Saccharomyces cerevisiae S288C: one gene and its partners. The main gene of each other region encodes a partner of the protein of the gene in region 4 in a complex. Each region holds a gene or a part of one and is shown on either strand. Other genes may lie near its edges. The genes, in order: PTA1, REF2, YSH1 and SSU72.

What was found.
Region 1: SSU72 (region 4) and PTA1 share a complex: the UniProt entries of both Saccharomyces cerevisiae proteins name them as parts of the APT complex.
Region 2: SSU72 (region 4) and REF2 share a complex: the UniProt entries of both Saccharomyces cerevisiae proteins name them as parts of the APT complex.
Region 3: SSU72 (region 4) and YSH1 share a complex: the UniProt entries of both Saccharomyces cerevisiae proteins name them as parts of the cleavage and polyadenylation factor (CPF) complex.

The regions. Positions count from the first base shown.
Region 1 is NC_001133.9:58,195-66,911, forward strand, and holds PTA1 (RNA-processing protein PTA1), read right to left. Parts: upstream 2,859-8,717; coding exon 501-2,858; downstream 1-500. Other genes in the region: GCV3 (glycine decarboxylase subunit H), read right to left, coding at 1-268; retrograde cargo receptor ERV46, read left to right, coding at 3,122-4,369; Rho family guanine nucleotide exchange factor CDC24, read left to right, coding at 4,646-7,210; cyclin CLN3, read right to left, coding at 7,584-8,717. UniProt on the Saccharomyces cerevisiae protein: Essential in pre-tRNA processing. Component of the cleavage and polyadenylation factor (CPF) complex, which plays a key role in polyadenylation-dependent pre-mRNA 3'-end formation and cooperates with cleavage factors including the CFIA complex and NAB4/CFIB.
Region 2 is NC_001136.10:843,195-850,700, forward strand, and holds REF2 (RNA-processing protein REF2), read left to right. Parts: upstream 1-5,404; coding exon 5,405-7,006; downstream 7,007-7,506. Other genes in the region: NAD-dependent histone deacetylase HST4, read left to right, coding at 1-255; FG-nucleoporin NUP42, read right to left, coding at 375-1,667; MSS116 (ATP-dependent RNA helicase), read right to left, coding at 2,758-4,752; YDR194W-A (uncharacterized protein), read left to right, coding at 4,877-5,029; CAB5 (putative dephospho-CoA kinase), read right to left, coding at 7,080-7,506. UniProt on the Saccharomyces cerevisiae protein: RNA-binding component of the cleavage and polyadenylation factor (CPF) complex, which plays a key role in polyadenylation-dependent pre-mRNA 3'-end formation and cooperates with cleavage factors including the CFIA complex and NAB4/CFIB.
Region 3 is NC_001144.5:694,829-703,095, forward strand, and holds YSH1 (cleavage polyadenylation factor subunit YSH1), read right to left. Parts: upstream 4,668-8,267; coding exon 2,328-4,667; downstream 1-2,327. Other genes in the region: DBP9 (ATP-dependent DNA/RNA helicase), read right to left, coding at 218-2,002; YLR278C (uncharacterized protein), read right to left, coding at 5,171-8,267. UniProt on the Saccharomyces cerevisiae protein: Component of the cleavage and polyadenylation factor (CPF) complex, which plays a key role in polyadenylation-dependent pre-mRNA 3'-end formation and cooperates with cleavage factors including the CFIA complex and NAB4/CFIB. Has endonuclease activity.
Region 4 is NC_001146.8:225,207-231,826, forward strand, and holds SSU72 (RNA polymerase II subunit A C-terminal domain phosphatase), read left to right. Parts: upstream 1-3,887; coding exon 3,888-4,508; downstream 4,509-6,620. Other genes in the region: SQS1 (Sqs1p), read right to left, coding at 1-1,893; cysteine protease ATG4, read left to right, coding at 2,164-3,648; ribonuclease P/MRP protein subunit POP1, read right to left, coding at 5,862-6,620. UniProt on the Saccharomyces cerevisiae protein: Component of the cleavage and polyadenylation factor (CPF) complex, which plays a key role in polyadenylation-dependent pre-mRNA 3'-end formation and cooperates with cleavage factors including the CFIA complex and NAB4/CFIB.

The DNA of each region.
Region 1 (8,717 bases), on a different chromosome or scaffold from region 4:
CAATCTCAGTGCCCACTTCTGGCAACTCAACATAGGTAGCGTCCCCTAAGGCATCAGTGGCGTATTTTGTAATTCCGACAAAGGCAGTCTTGTCCTGATGCACAGCTATCCACTCATGTTGGGAAGTGTACCTCACGGCTTGAGGTCCTTGGGATGAGTACAAAAATGGTAGTTTATTCTTGTTTAGGGCATTGCCGGAGCTGTTTCTCAAAAACAATTTGCTCACAGTGGGCATGCGGGTGGTCCATAGTCTAGTAGTGCGTAACATTGTCGATGTGGTATGCTTCATGTGGAGATTCCCTTTCCCATTAGATACTTGTTTGTTGGTCTGTATATATAGAAGAAAGAGTTAGCGAAAGTGACTCCGCCGCTGAATGACTCCTTACGGAAGTGTCAAAATTGCGAGGTCCCTATAGCACAGAATGATAGATAAAACATTGATTTGCAAGTTGAAGGAAGACCCTACACATGCGTATATATGATGTATGTAATGGTTGTGATCATTTTAGCCTGTCAAGCAGTGAATCGCACTGCTTGTGTAAGCCTTCATCTTCTTGCTTTAGCTGATGCAGCAGGTCGCGAACAGTGTCCTGCACTGGGGGTCTAAACATAATGAGAAACTTTAGCGTTTGGAAACCAAGGGAACTTCTTGCCGGATCCAGGCAGATAGGCTTCAGTGCCTCAAGATGATCGCTTTGAAGACTGGGCAGTTCGCTCATAAGTCTGATGAAGAATCGTCTGTGTTTGTTTTCAAGGAATGGACCCAGAGACTCGAGAACTCTTAAGGACCATTTTTTGTAGTTAGAGGGATCTTGATGCAGCGAGGTTTGGAAGAACCATTCTTCATTGAGCCATTCAATGATCAGACTGACACGTTGCTCGAAATCCTGGATGAAGAAGCCAAGCAGTTCTTCACGAATCAGGTCACTGGCCTCTTGTGCTTCGATTCCTCTCGTAACCAATCTGATTAAGACGTGTAACCATGACGAGGAGTCGTCATCGTCCAGTAATATGGAGGAGGAAGACGAAGATTTGGCCCGGGTAGTATCCTGGCGACCGGATAATTCAAACAGTTTCTTGGTCAGCTTTGAGAGGTACTTTAGTTTTTCATCCTGCGTCAATGAGTCAGGTTCAAAGGGGGGTGCGATCTCCTTAATGGCAGAAGTTGATTTGTTGGCATCTCCTGAGATTTCTTGGGCGCTTTCCTCTTCTTGAAGCATCTTCTGCATTCGGTCATCGTCTTCGGGCTCCTCTGGTTCCTCCGCTAGTGGTTCTGTTTCCATTTTGATTTTCTTGCTATTAGCCGTTGGGCCATCGTTTCCAACTTCTTCATTGTCGTTGCCGTCGTCATCATCGTCGGATTTCCTCTTTGATGATGACGAGGACGGTACAGAATTGATGTACGTATTCATTAAATCCGTGTACCTCGAAGCAACGATAGACAATCCGGTGATCAGTTTCGTGCTGTCCATTTGCAAGATGGCCTCTGTGGACAGCTTGATAAGTATGTCATTGGGTAGCTGGGTCACATCCTGGTTGGAGTTCGAACTGTTCATCAATGAGTACACAGATGAGTAGGTGTTGCTGATTGGTTTGGGTGAGTTGTTGAAAAAAGTATTGCCCTGGTGTGAAGCCTTGTTGAGGGTGTATTTTTGCAATATCTTCAGTTGATCAAGCATGTTTTCGGTTGAAGAGCCCGTTGCAGGTGCGGACACAGGCGTGGGGGTCTTTGTGGACACCCCTAGAGTAGACAATAACGCGGATAATTGCCTTTTCCATAGTGAGATGTATTTTAGTTTGTCCTGCCTGGACAACGTTTTCTTGCTATTGCCCTTGGAAGGGTCGAAGTTCAAAATTCCCTTGCTCTTGGTCTCTTCGCCAATAACGTGTAAAGTTTGAGAAATCTTGGTCAGCTTGGAGTAGATCGATGACCCTGATCCGGATGAGAGGGATTTTGTAATGATTTGATTTTTTAGCCCAAATTGCACAAAGTTCTTGTACGCCCTTTCAACAAATCTCTTGGATAGTTTGTAGTTCAAGTCAGACTTGCCCTCTAGGGGAAACTTGGCGTCGACGTTGAAACGCAACAGCCCGGAAAGAATTCTTATTGTTGTCTGCGGCCTTCTTTTGATGACGAAGGATAAAGAATTGATGATACCAATGAAAACGGACGAGACCATGTACTGTTCCTCAATTAGGTAGTTTAGCAACATATCAAGAAGCCTCTTAGCCTCGCTCTCCAAAGCCGGTTTGTTCAACACAGGGTGGTTATCCGGGATGGTAGATGAATTAATCTCGTTGCCGCTGGGTGATTTAGTTTGCGACAGCACGACCTCAGATATGAACTTGATGGTCGCTAATTTCACGCCGATATTTTGGTCAATCTGCGCCAGCCATTGTTCGACATCCGTTTCATCGTCAACGGTGGCACGCAAAGGATATGCAGTTCTCCAGTGCGAGAGCACGAACTTCTTCAGCATACACAACTGATCAAACATTTCCTGGTTTGATGTCTTAGCAACCAGATCCAACACCAGCGGGTATGAAGCGCACATAATAAGCACGATATTCTTGTACACTAGTACGTCCGCGGTGGATTGCGCCATAGCAAGAAGTAGTGGCAGATATTGAGCAGCAATAAACGGTCTCTCAGTATTCGCAATTGGAGAGTCCATCGACACCACGTCTAGAACTAACTGTGTAAAAAACTTGGCCAAAGGCAACTTCAGCTTGCTGAGATTACCGTTGTGGTACATGGATGCCGTAGTTTCGAGCACCTTGGGCAGCATCTCCGTTGGATTGTTGTGCATGGCCAGTGTCTTGGCCTGTAACAATTGTTCCATCTCTGCAGATGACATTGCGCTGCTTAGTGGTAGTTATATGCTTCTTGCCACGATTTAACCATTTGTTCAGTCAAGTACTAACGGTTAAAAGGTATCGAAATATGGCAACTTTTCACTTTTAGATCAAGTCACTATATACGACTTGAACATCAGAACGGCGATTTTCCATCAAGATGGAGTGGAAACCACGCCATTATAAAGGAAAGCTAGTTTTATGTCTCGTATACATGCGGAGTAGGACAGTGATATAACACACATAGCTAGACACAATAGACATCATGAAAAGGTCCACGTTGCTGTCGCTGGACGCATTCGCTAAGACCGAAGAGGACGTACGAGTCCGCACCAGGGCCGGCGGGCTGATCACTTTATCGTGCATCTTGACCACGTTATTTCTGCTGGTGAACGAGTGGGGACAGTTCAATTCTGTGGTAACAAGGCCACAATTGGTGGTGGACCGTGACCGACACGCAAAGCTGGAGCTTAATATGGATGTGACATTTCCATCGATGCCATGTGACCTGGTGAATCTCGATATTATGGACGACTCTGGAGAGATGCAACTAGACATTCTTGACGCAGGGTTCACGATGTCTAGGTTGAATAGCGAGGGTCGCCCCGTGGGAGATGCTACTGAGTTGCATGTGGGTGGGAACGGCGACGGAACCGCGCCGGTTAATAACGATCCTAACTATTGTGGGCCATGTTACGGTGCCAAAGATCAGTCGCAGAATGAGAATCTAGCACAGGAAGAGAAGGTTTGCTGCCAAGACTGTGATGCAGTGAGATCAGCATACTTGGAGGCAGGCTGGGCTTTTTTCGACGGGAAGAATATCGAGCAGTGTGAAAGAGAGGGCTATGTCAGCAAGATTAACGAGCACTTGAATGAAGGCTGCAGGATCAAAGGTTCTGCACAAATTAACAGAATTCAGGGGAATCTTCACTTTGCCCCTGGAAAACCCTACCAGAATGCATATGGACATTTTCATGATACTTCTTTGTACGACAAGACTTCGAATTTGAACTTCAACCACATCATCAATCATTTGAGCTTTGGGAAGCCGATCCAGTCCCACAGTAAGTTGTTAGGAAACGATAAGCGCCACGGCGGCGCCGTAGTTGCCACTTCTCCCTTGGACGGACGCCAGGTGTTCCCGGACAGGAACACACACTTTCACCAGTTCTCGTATTTTGCCAAGATTGTCCCCACCAGATATGAGTACTTGGATAATGTTGTCATTGAGACCGCGCAGTTCAGCGCCACTTTTCATTCCCGACCTCTTGCCGGTGGAAGGGACAAGGATCATCCAAACACACTTCACGTTAGGGGTGGTATCCCTGGTATGTTCGTCTTTTTCGAAATGTCTCCATTGAAAGTCATCAATAAGGAACAGCACGGGCAGACTTGGTCGGGCTTCATCTTGAATTGTATCACCAGCATTGGTGGTGTCCTAGCTGTGGGCACTGTCATGGACAAGCTATTCTACAAAGCACAGAGATCGATCTGGGGCAAGAAGAGCCAGTAGAGGAAGAGACTGTCATAGGGAAGAGCCCTTTCTACATACTACTACATAATATATATATATAGTATAGAAATTGGTATATCACTACTTGTACAAATATCATATTGTACGATAATCGCGAAGAACGACGCACTGGTGGGAAGAAGTGGAAAACAGAAGCTTTAAGGTAGAAACAGAACAAGAATGTGGCTATGGTAGGATAGCAGAAGAGTACCATTGCTGTTATCATTTGTTGCCTAGCCCTATCAAGACCTGTCTGCTAATCCAACCCGAGAGATCATGGCGATCCAAACCCGTTTTGCCTCGGGCACATCTTTATCCGATTTGAAACCAAAACCAAGTGCAACTTCCATCTCCATACCCATGCAAAATGTCATGAACAAGCCTGTCACGGAACAGGACTCACTGTTCCATATATGCGCAAACATCCGGAAAAGACTGGAGGTGTTACCTCAACTCAAACCTTTTTTACAATTGGCCTACCAATCGAGCGAGGTTTTGAGTGAAAGGCAATCTCTTTTGCTATCCCAAAAGCAGCATCAGGAACTGCTCAAGTCCAATGGCGCTAACCGGGACAGTAGCGACTTGGCACCAACTTTAAGGTCTAGCTCTATCTCCACAGCTACCAGTCTCATGTCGATGGAAGGTATATCATACACGAATTCGAATCCCTCGGCCACCCCAAATATGGAGGACACTTTACTGACTTTTAGTATGGGTATTTTGCCCATTACCATGGATTGCGACCCTGTGACACAACTATCACAGCTGTTTCAACAAGGTGCGCCCCTCTGTATACTTTTCAACTCTGTGAAGCCGCAATTTAAATTACCGGTAATAGCATCTGACGATTTGAAAGTCTGTAAAAAATCCATTTATGACTTTATATTGGGCTGCAAGAAACACTTTGCATTTAACGATGAGGAGCTTTTCACTATATCCGACGTTTTTGCCAACTCTACTTCCCAGCTGGTCAAAGTGCTAGAAGTAGTAGAAACGCTAATGAATTCCAGCCCTACTATTTTCCCCTCTAAGAGTAAGACACAGCAAATCATGAACGCAGAAAACCAACACCGACATCAGCCTCAGCAGTCTTCGAAGAAGCATAACGAGTATGTTAAAATTATCAAGGAATTCGTTGCAACGGAAAGAAAATATGTTCACGATTTGGAAATTTTGGATAAATATAGACAGCAGTTATTAGACAGCAATCTAATAACGTCTGAAGAGTTGTACATGTTGTTCCCTAATTTGGGTGATGCTATAGATTTTCAAAGAAGATTTCTAATATCCTTGGAAATAAATGCTTTAGTAGAACCTTCCAAGCAAAGAATCGGGGCTCTTTTCATGCATTCCAAACATTTTTTTAAGTTGTATGAGCCTTGGTCTATTGGCCAAAATGCAGCCATCGAATTTCTCTCTTCAACTTTGCACAAGATGAGGGTTGATGAATCGCAGCGGTTCATAATTAACAATAAACTGGAATTGCAATCCTTCCTTTATAAACCCGTGCAAAGGCTTTGTAGATATCCCCTGTTGGTCAAAGAATTGCTTGCTGAATCGAGTGACGATAATAATACGAAAGAACTTGAAGCTGCTTTAGATATTTCTAAAAATATTGCGAGAAGTATCAACGAAAATCAAAGAAGAACAGAAAATCATCAAGTGGTGAAGAAACTTTATGGTAGAGTGGTCAACTGGAAGGGTTATAGAATTTCCAAGTTCGGTGAGTTATTATATTTCGATAAAGTGTTCATTTCAACAACAAATAGCTCCTCGGAACCTGAAAGAGAATTTGAGGTTTATCTTTTTGAAAAAATCATCATCCTTTTTTCAGAGGTAGTGACTAAGAAATCTGCATCATCACTAATCCTTAAGAAGAAATCCTCAACCTCAGCATCAATCTCCGCCTCGAACATAACGGACAACAATGGCAGCCCTCACCACAGTTACCATAAGAGGCATAGCAATAGTAGTAGCAGTAATAATATCCATTTATCTTCGTCTTCAGCAGCGGCGATAATACATTCCAGTACCAATAGTAGTGACAACAATTCCAACAATTCATCATCATCCTCATTATTCAAGCTGTCCGCTAACGAACCTAAGCTGGATCTAAGAGGTCGAATTATGATAATGAATCTGAATCAAATCATACCGCAAAACAACCGGTCATTAAATATAACATGGGAATCCATAAAAGAGCAAGGTAATTTCCTTTTGAAATTCAAAAATGAGGAAACAAGAGATAATTGGTCATCGTGTTTACAACAGTTGATTCATGATCTGAAAAATGAGCAGTTTAAGGCAAGACATCACTCTTCAACATCGACGACTTCATCGACAGCCAAATCATCTTCAATGATGTCACCCACCACAACTATGAATACACCGAATCATCACAACAGCCGCCAGACACACGATAGTATGGCTTCTTTCTCAAGTTCTCATATGAAAAGGGTTTCGGATGTCCTGCCTAAACGGAGGACCACTTCATCAAGTTTCGAAAGTGAAATTAAATCCATTTCAGAAAATTTCAAGAACTCTATTCCAGAATCTTCCATACTCTTCAGGATATCATATAATAACAACTCTAATAATACCTCTAGTAGCGAGATCTTCACACTTTTGGTAGAAAAAGTTTGGAATTTTGACGACTTGATAATGGCGATCAATTCTAAAATTTCGAATACACATAATAACAACATTTCACCAATCACCAAGATCAAATATCAGGACGAAGATGGGGATTTTGTTGTGTTAGGTAGCGATGAAGATTGGAATGTTGCTAAAGAAATGTTGGCGGAAAACAATGAGAAATTCTTGAACATTCGTCTGTATTGATAAATAAAACTAGTATACAGCAAATACTAAATAATTCAAGAAAAAAACATTAGATAGAGAGGGGCAGATGTTCAAGCTATACCCATTATATTGATCCACACTTAGTATTAAGATACGTCTGTGAAGGATGAAAAAAAATGTATAATGTGACTAGAGGAAGTAAGGAGAAAAAACGATAGTAATCGTATTTTAGGTTGTGCGTTTTTATAATTTTTTTTTTTTTGTAATTCTATGCAAATGTAATATAAGTATATTTAAAGAAATAATGAGTCCTGTGAAAACAAAAAGAAAAAAAGATCATTAATGTATGTTAACGTATTTGCTTTGCAAATTTTAATTTATTTGTTGTTAAATGCATTTTTTTTTTGTCGTTTCAGCGAGTTTTCTTGAGGTTGCTACTATCATTAAAATCACAATCCACAGAGGAAGTTGATCTCTTTTTCAGTTGGGTGGGGGCAGAGCATGGGTGAGCAGTGGCCATGGGTCTAACAGGAAATAATCTTTTTGAACGCACAGATAAATTTTGTAATAATTTTCTATTTGACATTAGAGATGGGGTGGTGGGAGTTAGTGGGCTTGGCCAAAAGATGCTTGAATTTTGTGGGATGCTCAGTGACCTTTTAAAAGAATTTTGGGTAGAAGAGAACGAACCTGAATGTGAATGGTGTGATGCAGAGTCTGGGGTCGTCATTGAACTTGAAGTCTTGTAAGGGGAATTGAATGGAGATGGAGAGGATGAAGATGAGGTTGGAGTGAAGGCAAATGGTGGAGAAATGCTATCTTTGGTCAACCTTCTTAAATGAGTGTGATCCGAGAAATAGTCTGTGGCCGCAGATGAAACCGTAGCGCTCTTTGGAGTAGTAGCATTTGAGTAAACACAAGTCAATGAATCGCTGTCAAAGGACTGAGCAAAGATAGTATTGTACATGGTTTCCAATTCTTGTGAACGGTAGAATTCTTCCAGTTTCAATTGAATACAATAGTTTTGTAATGCGTCTAAGAGAGATTTTGCTAAAGATGTCTTATTGCTATTCAAATATTTTGATTTGAAACTGGAGGGGAAAGAATTTTGGTCCATTGCTATATCCAATAAAGTATTAGAGATTTCTGACAATTTAATATCTAGGTCTTGGCAGTTTTCCTCCAAAGCCAGATTGATATTTTCCCAAAGGTTTGAATTATAGTAGTTCAAAGATAATTTGATGAGGTTAATTGCACCCAGCGCAATTAGTGAACGATCATATTTAAATGATAATTCGAGATTGAAGGAAGCTAACTCGCACAACATAATGGCACCCAATTTGATCTCGTTGATGTTCAAAGAGGGGCCTTGAGAAGAGGACGATTTATTAATAGCAGTACCAGCAGCGTTATTTAATAAGGCCAGTTTCTGTTGAATGAAAGCTTCCAAAGGGGCAGAAAGGACAACGCCAGGCGATAACGGGGACGTAGATTGGAACAAGAAGATGTCGATGTAGGAGTCGAATGTTGCCGACTGACAGATGGA
Region 2 (7,506 bases), on a different chromosome or scaffold from region 4:
GAAGGTGATTTTATCGGTGAAATTGCCAATAATGACTTAAAGAAAAGAATTGATTGTTTGATTATTGTTGGAACGAGTTTGAAGATTCCCGGAGTGAAAAATATTTGCAGGCAGTTTGCGGCCAAAGTCCATGCAAACAGGGGTATTGTGTTATATTTAAACACCAGTATGCCGCCTAAGAATGTGCTAGACTCTTTGAAATTTGTAGACCTAGTTGTACTGGGAGATTGTCAGCATGTTACCTCATTATTATAGAAAGTATTTGTCCTACCAAAAAAGGTTGGAGATAAAATTAATGCATTTTTCATTAGATATATATATATATTCATATATATTGTTTAAGTTACCATTTTGTATGTTTTTCTTTGACCTTACTATGCAACCAATGCAGGTGGTGGAGGTATATCAGGGACAAGGCCTAGTTCAAACTTGTTTGCTCTGAATATTTTCAGTGTTTCCTCTGCGAGATCGGCCAATTCTAGAATACCGTCCTTTTCAGAAGATAACCCTTGAACAAATCTAATTTTTCCGGTGGCCGTATTAGCGTTGACATTAGTAGCATTCATCTGTTGTTGTCCAAATCCAAAAGAGGTTGCGTTACCATTGCTCTTCAAACTTATGTTCGGATCTGTGTTTGGCATTGTTTGCCCAAATGAAGGGTTCGATTGCGAGACTTTGTTGGCATCGTTTTGTGGTGTAATTCCGAATGAAAACCCTTTATTACCAAAAGAAGATTGAAAGTTGCCATTGGTATTTTTATTGAGGTTAGAAGCAGAACCAAAGGTGCCCCCAGAACCTCCGCTAAAAGGAGATTGATTATTCGTCGTTCCGAATGCGCTACTGCCCACGTTATTGTTGTTGTTAGCTTTGGAGGTTGTAGTACCAAACGGCGAAGAACCAGCGCCTGCTCCGCTCTGTAGATTACTAAAAGGTGATTTGTTATTACTATTAGTTCCAAATGTGCCAAATGGGGATACTCCTGTCCCACTGCTTGTACTTGTATTTTGAATAGTACCAAATGGCGACTGGGTATTAGTAGCTGCGCCGAAAGTCGGTTTGCCAAACGCTGACGATGTAGATGATGCATTTTGTGATGCGTTTTGTTGCAGTGAACCAAAAGGAGAAGTTGTGGTCAAGGGCGTGTTTGACGCAGCACCAAATGCGGAGTTATTACTATTACTAACCGAACTAGAAGGGATAGCAGTTTTGTTCGCTCCAAAAGCTGGTTGACCAAATGCAGAGCCCATTGAGCCAGGACTTTTACCAAAAGGATTACTTGTCGCCGCCATAGCACCAAAACCTGTTGATCCAAATGACGGTGCTCCAAATGCTGACGTAGTAGAAGGCGGATTAACATTGATGGGGGCGCTAGAACCAAATGCTGGTGCTCCAAATGCTGACGGTTTAGCCGCATTACTGGTGTTCCCAAAAGCGCTAATTGACGTATTGCCAGTATTGCCTGTATTGGTACCAAACTGGGGCATTCCAAATGCTGAAGTGGTGGTTCCTCCTGTCATTGTGTTTGCTGTTCCAAAACTAGGTCTTCCAAATGCACTTCCTCCCATGTTATTGGTACTAGCAGCATTATTTGTGAAAGGGTTGATACCACTTGTATTAGAAAGATTAGGCTTAGCACCCGACGTGAATGGGTTACCGAAAGCTGACATTACAGTTGAGTCGTTGCTCGGGTCGAAATTTAATGATAGCTTGATGAGCTTTTGCGTTAAAGTACAACAGTTCAGTGTTATAGTACTTTAAACATTGTGCGCTCATCTATTGATTCACTATTTTTTTTCAAATACCTTGCACCCTCAGTCGGCGTGTTTCTTGATATGCAGAATTAATATATTTCTAGATGTCAGTATATTAAGGTTAGCCCTTTGAAACGTATTATGATGTCGTTACCTTCAGCGTCGTGGTTTAGGTTTCATGTCTTGTCCTCTCGCGAATACTTTTATTTCGAAGCTAATTTACTATATAAAGAAGGTTGAAATCGCATGATAAGCTAAACAGCGTAAATAGAATTGCCGGAGCAAAATTCGTATAAGACATAATTTCCCTCCAGGCCGTAGCCAGATTAATGCTCAGTACACTGTAAAGAATTTTTTGTTTATTTTTAAGATAAGACAAGATGTCATTGATATTATTGCTAGATCACTAACAAATGGTATTTATTGATTTTTCTTTCGCAGAGCGGCACTTTAACTAGGATTTAATCATAAAAAAAAAAGTGATTGACACTGTTATTCAGTTCTGGACTATCGTATAGACTATTTTCATTGTTAATAGGCTCAGCTGTTCATAAAATATGTGAAAATTTTTCAACGATTACCAAGCCCACGATTGTCTCGTTGGCAATATTCAGAATGAAGTTTTCGTAATATGGCTATGTCCGTGATCAATCGCCTAAGACACCCTGACTTTTCAAGTAAATTCTCAAAAGCTTTCTTCCATCCGTTTAAATAAGAATTACAATGTTAGAATTACTTTTCCTTTGAGAGGAGGAAGAGCGAAAGTAAGAATGGAGGTACCGGTCGTAAATAAGCATTGACGAATAAATATACCAGTAGGATCTTCGTATAGTTATCATTTTAAGAGAATAGGAGAAGAAAAAAAATTTTTGTTTAATATTTATATACTAGGTATTTACACGTGAAAGTATTGAATCAAGATGGGGTCTAAAATACAGGCGTCTTAATAGAGGAATTGTTATTTAAAATACAACCCACATCTCTTGGTCCTCCTTTTTTATCTTTTCTAATATATGTTGCTGTTTCTACTGGAGTAATTATTTTTATCATTACTACGGGAGAATGAGCGTCTATTGTTGTTGCTGCGTCTAAACGGTTCGTCATCGTAATCTCTATTTTGGCTCCTATTATTATAGTTTTTGTTGCCTCTGAAAGAAATTTCTGAATCATCATCATAATCGTAGGACTTGTTATTTCCATCTCTACTACTATAGTCTCTAATTTCAAACATTGCCTTACCAATTGGACTACGGCTCAAACCTAATTTATCTAAAAACCTTCTGGATACTGGAATCTTTAATTGAGGATCATTTAACAGTACACCATAAGTGGAAGCAATTTCAGGAAGTATGCGCCTTTCAGAAAACCTGTATTCCTTGATACAGGATCTGTAGGATGAGATTAAACTTATTACAATATCTGATATGTCTTCCGGTTCTTCGGTCACTGCCTCTAGGACCTCAGATTTTATTTCTTCACTGGGCTCATATTTTTCTTGTTTGGCAATGACTATATTTTTTGCATCTTCCAACTCTCTAACAAATGGCAATTCATCTTTACAAATGAATAGCACAGAAGATCCTTCTTTCCCACTTCTGGCTGTTCTACCAATTCTATGAATATAATTAGCCAACTCAGATGGAACACCAATTTGCAAAACTTCGTGGACGTTTGGGAAATCCATACCACGGGCTCCCACATCCGTACAAACCAAAATACCGGATTCATCTTTTTTGAATCTTTTAACTAAACTTGTTCTTTTATTTTGAGTAATTTTACCATGAAATTCCAAAATTGGTAAATCTTTCTTAAATTCATTCTTTAAAATACTGCACAAAAAGGATGTGAATTTAACAGTTGGTGCAAAAATAATGGCTTTGTAATTAGAATCTCTTTCCTTTATTTGTTTCTTTATATGCTCCACAGCAGCAAATATACTATTGGCAAACTTTTCTGAAATGACGACAGACTGATCAATTCTTTCATGTGCTTCAGGTTCATTCTTATCTACTGTGTCTAAAAAGAGACATTCTTTTTTATTCATGATATTGTTTGCCAACTTTTGTACTTTGTCGTCCAGAGTAGCAGAGAACAACAAAGTCTTGATATTATCGGCTGATTTGGAGTTCTTTTCATTTAAAATACCAGAAATAGTTTCTAAATCATCCCTGAATCCAATTTCTAGCAATCTGTCAGCTTCATCTAGCACTTTGTAATCTACGAACCTAAAAAATTTGTTGGAGTATTTTTCCAAAACATCAATCAATCTCCCTGGAGTGGCAATTACAATGTTTGGTCTCAACTTATTCATTTTATTCATAGCTGCCCTGAAGTCAGTACCACCAACTAAAGAGACACAAGCGTACTTTTTCAAGCCATAATTCATATCGTGGATTTTTTTCACCTCTGCTTCGATTTGCAAGGCCAAATCTCTTGTTGGTGCGACAATAACAGCTTTTACCATATATTGAGAATCGAACTTCGTATTTATCAAATGCTGGAAAATTGGAATCAAGAAGGCAAATGTCTTACCTGTACCGGTTTTAGCTCTTGCGATAACATCATGGTCTTCACTGGATAATATTGGTTTGATAGTCTTTTGCTGTACAGGAGTTAAACCGGGAAATTCCATCCTGGTAATGGCTTTATGTATTTCTTTATCAAGGACTCCTTCCTCCAGTAAAGAGTCCAGCGTTACTTCTTTACTATTATCTTCTTTTGGGACGTGAATTAGTTTGGAAAAAGTGGTCTTATCAAAGTGCACTTCATCATCGTCTTCTCTAGACCTTGTCCTTGGGCGAGAATTGAAACGGGAGTTTCTATACCTGTTACTGTTGTTGTTTCTCTGATTCCTACCAAAATTTCTTTGATCTCTGTTTCCATCATTGTATAATCTTCTTGAAACAGCCCAAGTAATATGGTTGCAATTCGAGAGAGCTGCTAATAAATTTCTGCTTGCAAGAACAGGTGTGCGACCTTTTATCAATATAGAGGTCAACATTTATCAGCCTAACGTGCAACTCTGGTATTTTCTTGCCACTCTGAGACACCATAGTGGCCATCAATACTTCCCTTCTTTTTATAGGAAAATTTTATTCTTTCTATAATATCACTACAGACGGAGAATGAAACAGATGATGATTGAAGCATCCATAAGTAAAGACACTTTGAGGTTGCTAATTTGCTTTTTTGAAATAAAACAGTGCCATATATCACTCCAGCCTACTTGTTATTATCAGAATTGGGTACGGTATTCATCTATATATTACCAGTTGTAAATCACGATATATCACGATACACGACTCTCCGGCGCCAGCGTTTTTCGTCAGTTTTTCTCAAGGCGGTATAAAAAATCGATGATATTCGATTGAGGCACTTGTTAACAAGCATACACTGTTGGAGGCAGAACAAAACAAGCATAACTCTTTTGTACTGTATTGTACTCTACCGCTCTGTATCACGTCGGCACACCAACGGTTTCTTTTGGCGGGTCTATTATATATATTATATATACTTTTATCAAGACATCGTGTGAGTAAGTGAGGTTAAAGCTCAAAAACCTACAAGCAAAGGCACAAGGAAATCGAAAGGACCAAGAAAGGAAAAGAAAAGAAACGATACGATAAGTAAAGACACTGTGGAAGAATTGAACAATGTCAGCACCTGTTCCTCAATTAGTAAATATTTCTCATGCCTTGCAAGCTTCCACTATCCAGCAAATTCGTTTGGATATGGTAGATTTTAATAAAGATTGCAAATTATCTTCCATTCAACTGGCAAGAATTGACAAGTATATCGATTCTTTGCAAGCGGCTTTGAATCAGTTTACCAAAGATAACTTGCACATAGAACGGAAGGAAAAGAACGTGACTGAAGCAGATATACAGCTGTATTCTGGCTTAAAATCAATGTATCTAGATTATTTGAACCAGCTAATTAAACTAAAGCATGAGAAACAACACCACTCTACACCGCCCATCGCTAATGATGTCTCCCTGGACTTCTTCGTTAACCAATTGCCTAAGTTTTCTCCCGAGGAAAGGAAAAATTACATTGACAATTTAATCCTGAATAAAAATAGCCATAATCGATTATCTAAAATGGATGGTCTGGTAGATGCAGTCATCAATTTATGCGTCTTGGATACTTCCGTTGCTGAAAATGTACGATCCTATATGAAATTATTAGATACATTGGGTTTCCAAAAGGGTTCGAATAGTACTGGTACAAAGGCCAACCTCAAAAAGAAATTGGCTAGTTCGAAAGCAAAGATAAAGGATTCAGAAAAAGAAAAGGAGAAGGAGAAGGATAAATCAAAAGTCAAGATGAAAACTAAATTAAAACCTTCTCCTTTGCTCAATAACGATGACAAAAATTCTTCTCCATCGCCTACTGCATCTACCTCTTCAATGAAGAAATTGAAGTCGGGTTTATTCAATAAAAATGAAGCTAAGTCTACAGAATCTCTACCTACTTCTTCCAAGAAAAAACTATCATTTTCTAAATATCTGAACAAGGATGACGCAGATATGACCAAGCTTGGGACTAAACGGTCAATAGATGTGGATTTCAAAGTCAACCCCGAAGCATCCACGGTGGCTTCTAATATCATATCTTCGTCAACGTCAGGATCGTCAACCACAACGGTAGCGACTCCTGCTTCTTCAGAAGAGCCCTTAAAAAAAAAAACCAAAATATCCGTGCAAGACTCTAATGTACAATCGATTTTGAGAAATGGTAAACCGAAAAAAGCACGCATAAGTAGCATCAAATTTTTGGATGATTCCCAACTAATAAAAGTTTACGGTGACGATCTACCGAACCAAGGGCTACAAGTTTCTCCTACTCAATTGAAAAAAATTCTGAAACCATTCAAGGAGGGGGAACCGAAGGAAATTATATTGTTCGAGGATATGTCAATCAAATTAAAACCTCTTGATTTGATGTTTCTGAAGAACACAAACAGTGATGACTATATGGATATATCCGAGACTAAAGGTGGCCCAATACATTGTGAAACAAGGACCCCGTTGATCTATAGAAAAAATTTCAATCATTTCAACCCGGACTTGAATAAAAGGCCGCCAAGAGAACCCATAGAATTCGACTTAAATGGAAATACGAACTCAACCCCGACTATAGCAAAGGCTTTCGGTAAAAATAGTTTATTACTAAGGAAGGACAGAGGTGGTTTGCCATACAAGCATGTCCCCATAGTAAAAAGAAATAAATATCCTCCAAGACCAGTACACTAAGCTATGACATGCTGATACATAAACATGTAGTATATATACTCATTTTATATAATGTAATTATAAGATATCAACCTTATACCGCTGAAGACTTTTTATTTTGAAGTTTTTTCATCAGTAATCTGGACATGACGATGCTACTGGCACTTACGGCCCCAAAAGGTGGGAAATACTCCAAAACAGTTCTTAATTTACTAGGTTGGATTTTTTTTACAACACTTTCAATCTGTTCGTATAAGTCAACCAATGTGCTGTTATTTTGTAGGATATAGTCAGATCTTGCCATCCTTTCTTCAGTGCTCATTTGACTATTTAGCCTGTTTTTTGCATCTTCTTCACTAAGTTCAGGATTTCTTGTCATTAATCTTTCTAGTTGCAATTCTTGCGTACAAATTACGCTTACAGTCACTCCGCATATTGAATCCAGATTTCCTTCAAATAAGAGTGGCACATCCAATACACACATTCTATATCCCTTCAAGTAATAGTAGCCAATTTCTTTG
Region 3 (8,267 bases), on a different chromosome or scaffold from region 4:
AAGGAAAGCAAATCATCGTAAGAAACTTTACAGTCAGCGGAAAGCCTTTTTTTATTTTGGAAGTAAGACCAATTATTATTGGCTGATTTTCTAGCTCTTGCGAAAGTATTATATTCAAGAAAACGAATAAAGCATCTATATTATCACATTTAACTAAAGAGCATTTTTAATAAGTAGATTTTTACATAAAATATAGAATAAATATCAATATTATTAATCATTTGAAGTTCTTCAACGGGTCTACTTTACCATTCTTTGGCTTACTGACTCTTCCCTTTTTATGTGAATGGCGCTTCTTAGCATTGTGGAAAGGAACAAACTTGACTTTGGTTCCATTTCCTCTGGCTGATTCAGGAAGCAAGTAATCTGGAACACGCTTTAAATGCTGTTGCACTCTTGCTGGATGTAATTCTTTATCGTGTCTTAAACTTTGTAGCTCTTTTGGATTCTCCTCAAAATGTCTTTTCAACTTCTCACTTGCCAATAGTTCTTGTTTCAACTCTTTGACCCTAGCTTCTCTAATGGCAACTTGAGTAACAGCACGGAAACCGTCTTCCATTCTGTAACGGAACGCCTCGACCTGCTTTTGATCGAATTTGTAAGGCTGTAATTCTAATCCAAGTTTGCTCTGTTGTTTGATGATTCGTGAAAGAATCCTTTCATCCTTCTTTGCTGTCTGTAGCATTGATGGCTTATGCTTACCAAATTCTTTCAGTGGGACTACGAATGAAATTGCAGTACCGGTCTTTCCGCCACGAGCAGTTCTACCTACTCTATGCACGTAGGACTTAGCCGTCGTAGGTAAATCGAAATTGAGGACACATGCAACATTTTTGAAATCAACACCACGAGAAACACCATATTCCTTATCTTTCTTCACTTGGACCTTCTTTTTCTTGCTTGGTTTCTTATCGTTCTCAGGCTCGCCTTCCAAGCTTTTTTCTTCTTGATTTTCTGTATTGTGCCCTTCTTCTATTTCGTCATCTTCCTCTTTTATGTACTCGGTGTCATCTGTGGCAATCAATAGTTGGTAAACGTTTTTATTGAATTGGTCAACAATATGTTGCCTCGAATTAACGGGTAGCTCGCTGTTTAAAATACAGGACTTGATACCAAATTGTTCCATAACTAGCTTGAGCCTATATCCTCTGTCAATATTATTTACAAAAATTAATGTTTTACCCTTGATTAAGTTAAGTTTAAAAATGACATAGCATAGTAAGAATTTGTCAAATTCACTGACTTTAACGTAATATTGAAGTAATTTGTTTTGGTTCTTATTTATTTCCTCGTCATTGAATTTAAGAATAGCTGGAGAACGACAAAATTTTTGTTTCAAAGCCTGTATATCGTCATTTAGGGTTGCACTCATCAAAAATGTTTGTAAATTTTTTTTCAATGGTAAGTACTCTCCAATTTTGTTTAAATCATCTTGATAACCAAATGTTAACACTAAATCCACCTCATCAACTACTAAAAATTTTAGTTCGTTCAATGAGATAGAATTAATCTTTGTTTGCAACAAATCCAATAATTTACCAGGTGTACCAACTATGATTTCTGGTTGATCCATAAGTAGAGTGCTCAAAACTGAGTCAGACATATCGGATGATATGTTCAGAGTTCTTATATCTTTTGAACAATATAAGACTAGTTTTTCTAAAACATTATATACTTGTTGAGCCAGTTCTCTTGTTGGAACAAGTATAATACCTAGTGTACCATTTTCCTCTCCGTTATCAATTGTTTTTTTATATTCTAGGATAGTTTCAATTACAGGAATGAGGTATGCCAAAGTTTTTCCGGAACCTGTAGCGGCCTTTGCTATAATATCTCTCTTCTGTTGTAAAGCCAAAGGAATAGCATGTGATTGAATTAATGTTGGGTACTGAAATCCTATATTCTTAATAGCTTGTAATAAACGAGAGTCGAGATGAAATGCTTCGAACGTTGTAGAATCGTCAATATAAGCGCCTTCCACAGACTTTTTCTCATAGCTCATTTTTTTGATCTTTCGTTGCAGTTTTGGCTTAGTCTATTTCTTTTGTGAGATAAATTGTAGATTGACTATAACTATCAGCCAAAACAAAAGGCTCTTACTCAATGAAAGAAATTAGAAGAATCGAAATGAAATGAGATGAGATGAGATGAGATGAGATGGTCTAGAAGAGTTATTCTTTATGTTCGTGAAAAAAAATTTTTAAAATTTCATCTCTAGGTTTCATTACGTAAAGAGTGATTAAGGTAAACAATAAAAGGCAGTTCTAACCAGATTTTGGTTTGGTATTACTTCTATAAAGTAGTCTACTTAGTATGCGTAACTGTTTTTAACATAGCGGTGTGACCAAATTACCACCAATATTTAAGAGGCTTTCCACCCTACCTTTCAAAGGATTTGAATTACATTCTAAAATTTTCATATTGTTGAAGTCAATCTTAGCAGTGCTTTTACCTATGGTAACCACTCCAGTTATAGTTTCCTCTTTATTACTTGCATATTCATCTTTATTGAGAAATAAAGTAAAACAGTCACCAAACTGTTCTTTAAACAACCTTGAGATTTGCTTCACCCTCTCAACTTCATCAATCTTACCTTGTGCATTAGACTGCACATTGTTATGATCATGATCATCACAAGAATGACTCGAAAGCTTGACACTGGCGGGAGCTGAATCCACATTCATAAGTATAGCAATAATGGAGTCTGCTACAGTGTCATTCATTAAATCTTGAGTCCATTCCACAACGGCTAGAGTATTAACAATAGTTAACTTAATATCACCCATTATCTGTAGAATCAATTTACCTGTATTGGTCAGATTGTCTTTTGACTCTTCTTTAACCTTTGGTTCTTGATTTGTTACTCTATCATCATCTTGAAGAACTTCAGCCTCTCCAAACATTTGTAAAATGTGCCAGTAAATTAGCTCCTTTTTACAATTTACACGAACTGACTGGCGCTCTCTTAATATCGTTGTAGAAAGATCGGGATGGTGCTCTCTTAAATCAGACAAAGAAAGGAAGTCTAATTCGAAATTTTTGTCATCTGAAACTAGAATCCCAGAAACGACTATGTCTTTGTGTTCCTCTTCATCAACCAAACCTTTTTCTGCTTGAGAATCCAAGTTGTCTTCGTTTTCTTCCTTTATAGGTTCAATTTTAGCCGCAATTTCTTCCTTTATCTCTACGTTTTCTTCTTTATATATTTCGTTCACAATATTTCCCACAGCTTTTGCAACCTTGACACCTTGAAATTCAAGATCTACTTCAACACAGTTTCTAGGATTAAAAACATGGACTTCATTATCTGTACCCTTTAAAGACGCGAAATTGGATAACAATGCAGATTTCAAACGGCCCATGGGATTGGCTTCTCCATGAACAAGGATGATATTTGGCGCACTAATCTTTTCAATAAATTCTAAATTTTCCTGGAAGTCAACGTGTGCGGCAAAGGAGATTTCTTCAACTTGACAACGTCTTGGAATGGTTATTTCCGGATTATTTATGGAAGGTATTGTATCTGGCTCAAGCATAATAAATTTCGCCATTGTTCCTTCGATGGAGTAACCGGTGATTAGTACTAGATTTTTATCTTCAGGGCACCACCTTTCAAGTAAATCTCTTGATAACCCACTTTGCAGCATACCTGGTGAGGCCAACATCACACTGGGACCAAAATCTTGGAAATCCTCCAAGTTTCTAAGATAAGATATATTTTTGAATATGAAGGGATTAGTCTGAGAGTCTCTAAATTTTTTTCTAATGTCATCATTCATCATATTTACATAGGTTTGAAAAACGCTCATACATTTTTTTGCCAAATTTGATGCATAAAATATTGGGACTTGTCCACCACCGAGTTCATCAGCATGTTGAGACCAGTACTCATCCAGTATAAGCATGATTTCTTGAGCTCTCCCTAAAGCAAAAACAGGCAGTAGAACACGGCCTCCTCTCATCACTGTGGAATGGATTAGTTGGGTTAGCTTCCTTTCTCTATTTAAACGGGGCTCGTGAGTAGCGGTACCAAAGGTAGATTCCACAATTAATACGTTGGATGAAAGTGGAGGCACCTCAGCAGAATTTAAGTGACGATCTACTTCTCTCGAATAGTCACCTGTGAATAACACCCTAAGGCCAGCAATCTCTATTTGAAACATCGCTGCACCCAATACATGGCCTGCATGGAATGCCGTAAATTTGATACCATTGACGTCAACAGTAGAATGATAGTCCACCGTTTCAATTTTATCGAAAGAATCAACTAAATCCTCATCTGAGAATAGACCTTCGTCTTTAGTCCCCATAGAGGAGGATGAAGAACCTATACTAGTAACTCTTACAAAATCTCGCAGTAGCCATCTGTAAATGGCTTTGGTTGGATGTGTCATGAAAACTCTGCCTTGAAAGTTAGTCCGTTGCATCACATACGGAAGTGAAGCGGCATGGTCTAAATGGAAATGTGATATCAGTAAGATATCGACTTTGGAAAGATCAAATTCATCGTAAAAAGGTAATGAAGCTAATCCTTGATATGCCGGATGAATTCCTGCGTCGAGCATCACTGTTTTACCTTTATATTGCAATATATGACATGATCGTCCAACTTCGTTACTTCCTCCCAATGAAAAAAATTTGAATGTTGTTGTATTTGTTCGCTCCATATATGCGTATACTTATTAATGTTAACTTATTATGTTACTTTTTATTTCCTCAATGGACAAAATTCAATTGATAATACAATGTTTCTTTTGTGCTGTAACTTTTGAAGTACTGAAAACAAGGGTAAAAGAAATAAACGCTTATACCCGTGAACATTTTGAACCTATTAGATGTGATCTCAATATGTATTGCGCTGAAGCAGTAGAAGTTGTTAAAGATCCGCTAGTTTTTCATAATTTTCGGCCAGAATAACTGCTTACCCGTATTTATTTGCAAACACGCTACTTAGTCTTTTGGAGAGGACTTTATACAGGAAAGAAAGAGTTTTATTGATTTTAAAAACAATATAAATGAAAGAAAAAAATGTGTTTTAGATTAGGCTTATAAGATATGACCCATATCATAATTAAAAAAAGCGATTTAGTTGTTCTTTTAAAAAAAAAGAGAAAAAAAAAAAAAAAAAAAAAAGGAATGAGTTTGTACATACTATTATATTAATGTAGTATCACGTTAAAAAGCCGTAGTCATCATTAATCGTCCAAAAGTCTTCTACCGGACCAGATGTCATCATGTTATCCCAGTTAGAACGCTTTTTCCTGATGTCTGCGTTAGTTACTGTAGGAATAACATTGTCGAAATGCAGATTTGCGCTAGTGTTTGCTTCCACCTGTGTTTTAGGTCCATTCTTCTCTGTTTCGTCAAGATTATATTGTACACCTTCCTGATTGGACATCATGAACAAATTTCTGTTATACGAAGGGTCATTCTGCGTCTGTTGAAAATTATTAGCGGTTACATTGTTTTCAGAACACATATTTTGTTGTTGATGTTGTTGCTGCTGTTTGTCCATGGACAGAGATGAAGGCTCTTGACTCTGGGGAAATATTGTTTGTAGTATGGACTTGCTATTCAAAGCATCTAGAACGGAGTTATTGGTCCAGGTGGAAATATTGTTGATCATGTCATGAGCACCGTTGCTGAAAAGTATATCGCCCGAAGAAGAGCCATTTCGAGCTTGTTTGACACTGACCGGAATTGAATTGCTAGTAAATGACGCTGGTATCGAGGAGATAATATTATTGCCATAATCTGCTCTTAGGGGTGATGTACTGAAATTTGATTCTTCGACATCTCTTAATTGCTTATTTTCACTTGTATGGTTAGAGAATATTGCAGATTGTAGAGGATTACTGTTGATCATACCATTGTTTAATTGATTCGTAAAATTGCTTTCTGAGAATCTTTGTGGAGAAGTAATATGTTGTTGTGGCTGCTCCCGCTGTTGTTGCGGCAGTGGTCGTGATACATGCTGTTGCGGTAGCATATTGGAAGTTTGAGGATATGGAGTTGGGCTTTGCGTCATCGCTATTGGAATCGGATCCGAATGCGAAGAGGCTGTAGATATGCTAGAAGATTTTGAAGGACTTCTATTGGTCATAGTATCGGTGTTCAGGGACGATAGATACGCTTGTAAATTGTGCTGAGCTAGTTGCTGTTGTAGAAAGGCCTGCTGTTGAAATACTTGCCAATCAAACTCTGTTTGGTTGGTTGGTTTCTTGACGATATATTGGTCTTGAATAGGCCTTTCTACATCATTTTCCATAGTTACGTTGTTGTTACGAACATACTGGCTGTTGTTGCCATTATTGCAGCTGTTGTTGGTAGTGCTTCTGCTATTACTTTCATTATCATTATTATTAACATTATTATTATTATTACTATTATTATTATTATTGTTATTATTATTATTATTATCATTATTATTGTTGTGATTATTGTTGTGTTCTCTGTTGACGCTGCTGATGGTCATACCATTGTTATCATTGTTTACATTGATTTTCAGGTTTTTTTCTTGGGAAGAAGGAAACGATAATGTCGACGATGATGACGAAGAAGAAGATGATGACGAAGAAGATGTTGTATAAGACATTGAAGAATTTGAAATACGTGACCTGTCATCCATTTTGGTTAATAGGTGAGCTAAACTTTTGGGTACAGAGGTCTTTTCTAAAACACCTTGCTTCTTCTTGAATTTCTCTTGTTCAGCCAAATCCACTTGTGAATTTTCCACAAAACCGGCGTGCTCTTCAGCTTGTCCTTTACCAAATATTCTAGCCACAGCAGGCGGCATACCGCCATTATGAGATATATTTTTATCGTTTGAATTGGATAGATTAGCTGCATTTGCGGAGTTAGAATCATGAAGAGTATCCCCAGATGAAATTGCCTTATTGGCCTCATCATTGATGTTCTTGGGTTCAGTACGCTTGGCGACACTACTAGCCATGAAAATTAACTCAGAAGAGTCTGGACCACATCTTTCAATCAAATTACCTACCGTGGCATTCATTAACTGATCGAAAGTATCTCTAAAGGTTCTTGCAAAATTAGACCTTTCTGTCATAACATATAAACAAACGGAGCAAGCTCTCAAATCATCCATCGTCGAAAAGAGACTTGCACTGATTAAAGGTCTAGTATGCTTCGAAGCATCGCCTAATTTCTTCCTCCTTTGATCGTCAAAATTCCTGGCTAACCACATACAGTAGATTAAAGTTACGCCAGCTACAAAAACCGTATGCACTGCTGGTGTAGAATGACCATTAAGCGTTTTTTGATGGAATATCTTGTATAACTGACAAATTTGACCCGCAGCAGCTTGACATTCTCTAAATAGTCTATCCTCCGGGGCGAAAAATTCCAAATATGGTTGTATAAGCAATCGCACTGATCTATAGTAATAAAGTTTTAGTGTCTCGTTTTCGAAATTTTTCACGTCAAGAGTGGAATAACTTTTTCTCCAAACTTCCAAATCTTCAAAAAATTTTCGTACTAGGGGCAATTGATCAATGGATTGCTTCACTGACCTGGAATCGTTTTTCAATAGCTGTAAAGTCTCTACAAATTGAGATTCAATTCTTCGCAGCTTTAGAGACTGATTGATGAATTGCACACCATGGTCATTGGTTGATGGAGCCGCCGCATGCACACCTTTTGTATAAAAAGAGTCGTTATTGAAAAGAGGTAAATTTATTTCCGACTCCTTGATTGTATAAGGTTTCCCCACAGCAACACAAATCATTCTTTCCAACAGGTAAACACACCAAAATAGTCGCAGTTTCTTATTTGCAAATGGATCATTAGGATACCATTGATTTAGATGAAGTTTCTTCTTGGATATGCCCATGACATCCTTGATTATGTCATATAGTATCAGAGAATCTCTATCAGTCCTAATAATGTAAAGGACAAGCAATGTCAACAGTTCTATTTGCTGAACATAATTCAAATGTAGACCACACTTAGTGATGTGACGGATAGCGGTGGAGAAATATCGGTGAGGTGGAAACCCCTTGTACTTACCTGTGGTCATCAGTAAGTAGGCGCTGATGCTGAAGACAAGCCACATTCTGCCGGATAGAAAATGAAATTCTATTTCAGAATACGAATGTGAATTCGACGGTGGTGCTGCGGAAGACGTGGCGGGAGAAGATGGTGGGATAAGAATCTTGTTGTGGAGGTAGTGGTCATAAAAAGTATAGATTTCTTGTTCGTCTAAGATAGGGTACTTGAATTGTAATCTTGTGAAAAAAGTGTCCAAG
Region 4 (6,620 bases):
AATTTTCATTACGGTCTTGTTTCCATGAGGATCTAATGGAGGGAAAGTCAGTCTATCATTGTTCCTAGACAAAAAGGACTCAAATTCATCTTTAATATTTTGAATATGGAGTCCATATGGGTATTTCTTGAGCATATCGTTCGAATTTCTATTCTCCTGATCAATGAAATCTTCTTTGGCTTTTCTTTTCTTTGCTTTGGTTTCTATGCGTTTACTAAACTTACTTTGTAACGTCTCCAACGTTTCTGTATCCAGCGCTAAGGCGTCATCGATGAGTAGCTTCTTCTTCTTACCTTTACCCTTAGTTTCCAAGGACTTGGTTTCAAATGTTTTGAATCTTTCTGTATCATGTTTCAATGTGTATGCAATTAGGTCGTCCAGACCCTCTTCAATGTCGCTATGCACAACCGAGGAGGCCATATCTTCATCATCTTCATAGCTGTCGCCTTCATAGCTGTCACCTTCATCACTCGAATCAGAAATCGGAATATCTGAGTAGGTTGGCTCAGCTGGTTCAATTTTTGGTATAAGAGAATTTTTAATAAAATTCAAATATGCAGGTAATCTATCTTCAGGAAGACCTAACTCGTCTACAACGAAGTCTGTGAGTAAGTCCTGGTCAATCCAATGAAAGTCGTAATCTCCCAGTAATCTGTAACACCGTAGATAATATGAATTGTCTACTCCGCCCATTCTTATATTGGAGACCACTATGTCATTAGTATTTATGACAAAATCTTCTTCTTTGAATCCAAATTCTAACTCTTCGCTAGCAGGAGATGGCAGATTATCATTATTGCCTTCGAATGTTTTGGTACCATTTATTGAAAGACATTTTATATCTTCTGTCAACTGCGGACTAGGGCTTGGTAAAAGATTGTTGTCAGCTCGGGAATTGTGACGTTGGCCAACATAATTAAACCCTTGATCAACCTCAGAACTTGCTGAGGATTCGTATAAAGGTTCACTATTATTCTCTGTTTCTATTTCGTAGTCTAGTTCATCATTGTCCGAGTCGCTAGTATGCATACCATGTAATACGTTGGAAATGTAACCAGCAAATGGATGATATGTCTTATTACCCTTATTTGGAACGTCAACACTAATTTCCTTGCTTTCGTTACCTTCGGAAACGCTAAGTTCAACCTTTCCAATTGTTAAGATAGGATCGAACTCTATCGCAACTTCTCTTGGCCTTGCGATTTCCTCGATACATACTCTTTTTATTTTGGTTAGATCCGGCGATTGCTGAGCCTCTTCATCTACAAAAAACAGGTCACCATCTTCAACTTTGCTTTCATTCGAAGACAGCGAGTGGTCCGTCGAGGGTGAATTCTGACTATCATCATCCTCGTTTTCACTGTCTTCATTGTTAATATATTCAACATCAGAAGTCATCTTTCCTGGTTCTTCAAAAACGTCTGCTTCCCTTTCGACAATTTCTTCACTGTTCTTTGTTTCGTTCTTTGCTCTCAGTTTTTGAATCATATTGTGGGATGGATCGTAAACTTCCTTAGCTTTTACAAATTGCATAGGTCTTTTGCGGAATGCTGCCCTTCCTGCTTGTAGGTCAGTTGAAGAATCATATCGATTACCTGGTCTTAAACCACCCATTTTCATAGAACGGCTCTTGGCATCGCGACCAAAATAATAGTCTTCTATAGTTTTTGGTGATATGAATGCTCTTCCTGGGTTGAAGTCGGCGCCTACATCATCAAGATCACCTTCTCCTAGTGGTATAGAAGAGTTATGCCAACTGTTAGTGGGAGTAGGTTTTTTCTTTATCTTTCTGCCTTGTATGCCTTTAGCATTCCCCCTGCCAGCTTTCTTGGAATTGCTACCACGTGCATGCCTACGTCTGCTTCCTTGATAATGACTATGCCTTTTTGCCATTTTTTTTGACGGTTACAACAATTTATGCTTATATTTGACTCTGCGATTAAATCACTTCTTCCTTCTAGAAACTCTGCGCAGGCCTAATTGTTGTTGTTTTGTTCAGATCTTATTTAATTGTAAAATGTCAAATTTCACTTTTATTCTTTAGGCGGTGACCGTTGCAGCTGCCAACAATAGCGCCTCAAAGGAAAAAAGTAAAAATATACACACAATAACGTTAGTAGATGAAGAATGGACGACTTCTTATCACGTATAGGAGTGATATACATGCAGAGGTGGCTACAACTGTGGAAAATGGATTTGGTACAAAAAGTGTCTCATGGCGTTTTTGAAGGCTCGTCCGAAGAACCGGCTGCTCTTATGAATCATGATTATATAGTATTAGGGGAAGTATATCCTGAGCGAGACGAAGAATCTGGCGCTGAACAATGTGAACAAGACTGTCGATATCGCGGTGAAGCGGTTAGTGACGGGTTTTTAAGCTCTCTTTTTGGTAGGGAAATTTCTTCTTACACAAAGGAATTTCTTTTGGATGTACAATCAAGGGTCAACTTTACATATCGGACAAGATTTGTTCCTATAGCAAGGGCGCCAGATGGGCCTTCACCTTTAAGTCTAAATTTATTAGTACGTACAAATCCGATCAGTACAATAGAGGACTATATAGCAAATCCTGATTGCTTTAACACTGATATTGGGTGGGGGTGTATGATAAGGACAGGACAAAGTTTGTTGGGGAATGCCTTACAAATCCTTCATTTGGGCAGAGATTTCAGGGTAAATGGTAACGAAAGTCTGGAAAGAGAATCAAAATTTGTAAATTGGTTTAATGACACGCCTGAGGCTCCATTTTCGTTACATAACTTTGTTTCTGCAGGTACAGAACTCTCTGATAAAAGACCAGGTGAATGGTTTGGTCCCGCAGCTACGGCAAGGAGTATACAATCTTTAATATATGGCTTCCCCGAATGTGGCATCGATGATTGTATAGTATCTGTTTCATCCGGCGATATCTATGAAAATGAAGTTGAAAAAGTATTTGCTGAGAATCCAAATAGTAGAATATTGTTCTTGTTGGGCGTGAAGCTCGGGATTAATGCGGTAAATGAGAGCTATAGAGAAAGTATATGTGGTATCTTAAGTTCAACACAGTCAGTAGGCATTGCCGGCGGTAGGCCGTCTTCATCGTTGTATTTTTTTGGTTATCAAGGAAATGAATTTTTACATTTCGATCCTCATATTCCTCAACCGGCAGTAGAAGATTCATTTGTAGAGTCGTGCCATACCAGTAAATTTGGTAAATTGCAACTATCGGAAATGGATCCCTCGATGCTCATTGGTATTTTGATTAAGGGCGAAAAAGACTGGCAACAATGGAAGCTAGAAGTTGCAGAATCTGCTATTATCAATGTTCTTGCTAAGAGAATGGATGACTTTGATGTGAGTTGTAGTATGGATGACGTGGAAAGTGTAAGTTCTAACTCAATGAAGAAAGATGCAAGCAATAATGAAAATCTCGGAGTACTAGAGGGAGACTACGTAGATATTGGTGCAATATTCCCACACACAACAAATACAGAAGATGTAGACGAATATGATTGTTTTCAAGATATTCATTGCAAGAAACAGAAGATTGTTGTTATGGGAAACACACACACTGTTAATGCGAATTTAACAGATTATGAAGTAGAAGGCGTCCTTGTAGAGAAGGAAACGGTAGGTATTCACAGTCCTATTGATGAAAAATGCTAGTGTAAGGAATTCACTAGTTCATAAGCATATATACTTGTTTTAATATATTCCCTAAAACTGAGGTATCCAGTTCTTTTGTTCTTATTCGTTTGATCATCCTTTACGTATTTTTCGTCTGCGGCAGTGGAAAGAACTTAAAAAACGAAAGATAATAAAGAAAAAGGCCAGTCGGCACGAATTAAAGACCACCTGTAAGAAGATTAAGACAACGGTGGTATAAACTAGTGTCGAAGTCCAAAATGCCTAGTCATCGCAATTCAAACTTGAAGTTTTGCACAGTTTGTGCATCAAACAACAATCGTTCAATGGAATCGCATAAAGTCCTGCAAGAAGCAGGCTATAATGTTAGCTCTTACGGAACAGGTTCAGCTGTGAGACTGCCTGGTCTATCGATAGATAAGCCTAATGTGTACTCATTTGGTACACCCTATAATGATATATATAATGATCTTTTATCACAATCAGCAGACCGTTACAAGTCGAACGGTTTATTGCAAATGCTGGATCGTAATAGAAGACTCAAAAAAGCACCTGAAAAATGGCAAGAAAGTACAAAAGTCTTCGACTTCGTTTTCACTTGTGAAGAGAGATGTTTTGATGCCGTTTGTGAAGATTTGATGAATAGAGGTGGGAAATTAAACAAAATAGTGCATGTAATTAATGTTGACATTAAAGATGATGATGAAAATGCTAAAATTGGTAGCAAAGCTATATTGGAATTAGCTGATATGCTCAATGATAAAATAGAACAATGTGAAAAAGATGACATTCCCTTTGAAGATTGTATAATGGACATTTTAACTGAGTGGCAAAGCTCACATTCTCAACTACCGTCATTATACGCTCCTTCATATTACTAAACAAAACGGTCAATTACTGTAGAAAAGCATAAGCATTAAGCGGCCCTCATGAATCCTACATTATCCGTGAAATTTCAATACTTTCACAAGTCTTCGATAGCTTCCTAGTTATATTCATTATATAATATTACGTTTCTTGTTGCGGCTCTCTTAAGCACATTATTTGCTTGTTGTCCACATAGCTATTTTTTTATCAAGAAGCTTGATATACAACACACTGTATTTTTAGTAAGCTGGACAATGTCTTGTCTCAATGTAGCGTATAACAGGTTTCATTCCAAAACACATCACCAGATATAGGACTGAAATGAAGAAAATAGAAGCATGAAACTTTAAAAGTTTCAGTACTTTAAGAAAGAAATAAATAGAAAAATGTTCCATTTATTTCTGAAAATAAATCAAAAATTATAAGATCCACCCGTTCCTACCAAGACCTTCCAAAATTTTTCCCATAACGGGAACGAGCAAAGTTGAGACTGCTCAAAAGAGCACATCTTCAAACTACAATCCCGACCAAATAATCTCAACAGCCATACCTTCATCATAAACTTAAGTTCATTCGAATCTGCCGTCAAAAACTAAAATGGCACGCTAGAGAAAAGTAGTCAAAAAGAATGCCTCTACAAAGCTCTCTTTTGAAAGGCCCCAGCTCCCCTAACACCAATTTGAATTTGGTGTCAAACTTCTCCAGGCAGAAGAAACAAAGGGCCCCAAAAATCAGTTTAACCCAAAAATCCCCAAAGGAATCAAGGGATTAACCAATGATTGAAACAAGGGAATGGAAACGTCAGCAAACACGCCTTCCGCGCCGTATGTGTGTGTGACCAAGGAGTTTGCATCAATGACTTCAATGAACAATTATAGTTCAATGATAAATGCTTAACGTCCTTCTACTATTGGAAGCGCATGTTTGATCAGTAGGACTTCTTGATCTCCTCTGATATCTTAAGGTAAGTATGAGGATTTTAAAAAAATTCAAGAAAAAACTATATTTTAACGCTAAAAGTATGTTTGTAAAATAGTTCTATTAAATGGAACTTCTTCTCTCTATTTATACGTCTTGCCAATGGAAAACTCGTCGCCTTAGAAAAAAAAAAGGTGCAAAGACGGGTAATAATTTCATTGACATTTTCAAGAGCTAGGGAATGAATCAATGAGCCCTATGATGGCAGCGTAGATCACCGTATTTAAATTAACATATAATAAGATTTGTTGCCACTTTCAATCTCTAAATGTGTACGTATAGAGTTCCAGGAAGCAAAAAGACCATTATTGCGCGATATGATTGCTATTTGCCCTCTGTATACATAGCTTTATAGGATATCGGTCGTACATATAATTCAGTTCAGTTCATTATACGGATATTTTCGACCACTCCCCCAACCTATAAGTGTTGGTACCTACATTTCTGATCAGTACATACCTAGTTGGTTGCCGGATGGCCGCATGATGATCTATAAATCCGATTCCCATACCATTTCCACAATTTAAGTGGTAGGTGCCGCTGGTAATAAAACCAATCAAATCATGTACCTCTGGAAGTGGAATTTTCAAATCATGATCTTTTCTTCCGTTTGGGCGGTAAACCCCTTTTGCCAATTGTAGCCAATGCTCTAAGTCCTTTTCTGGAACTTGATATATTCTTGCATTGTCCTTTGGGTGACCTCGTTCGAGTAGTGTGCAAGATACAGCAATGATACAACGTGGGAAGAATGTAAGGGAGAATGAAGAACTATTGACGCTAATGCTATCAGGAGTGCGAAATTGACATTTCCGATTTTTACACAATGCAACTGGTATGTTCTCTTCAATCGACAACGACATAGCCTTGGTCTTGGCTTCATAATCTTTGCAAAACTCCAAAACATCATTTACACAGTTGATGTCTCTTACACCCTGAGCGTTAAATTGCCCGGTCTTCTTACTGTCCATCAGTTCTAAGGTTTTATCATTCCGCTGTAAATAATCAATTCCATTTCTCAGTATTTGTAAAAATCTCCAGTCTGAACTGAAAAAATCGCCGATTTCTCCGCTATATGCCGGTAATTTAGTGTTATGGATGTCTTTGATCTTCTCGAAATTAATCCTTTTTCCCATTGGCTTCCTATCCCA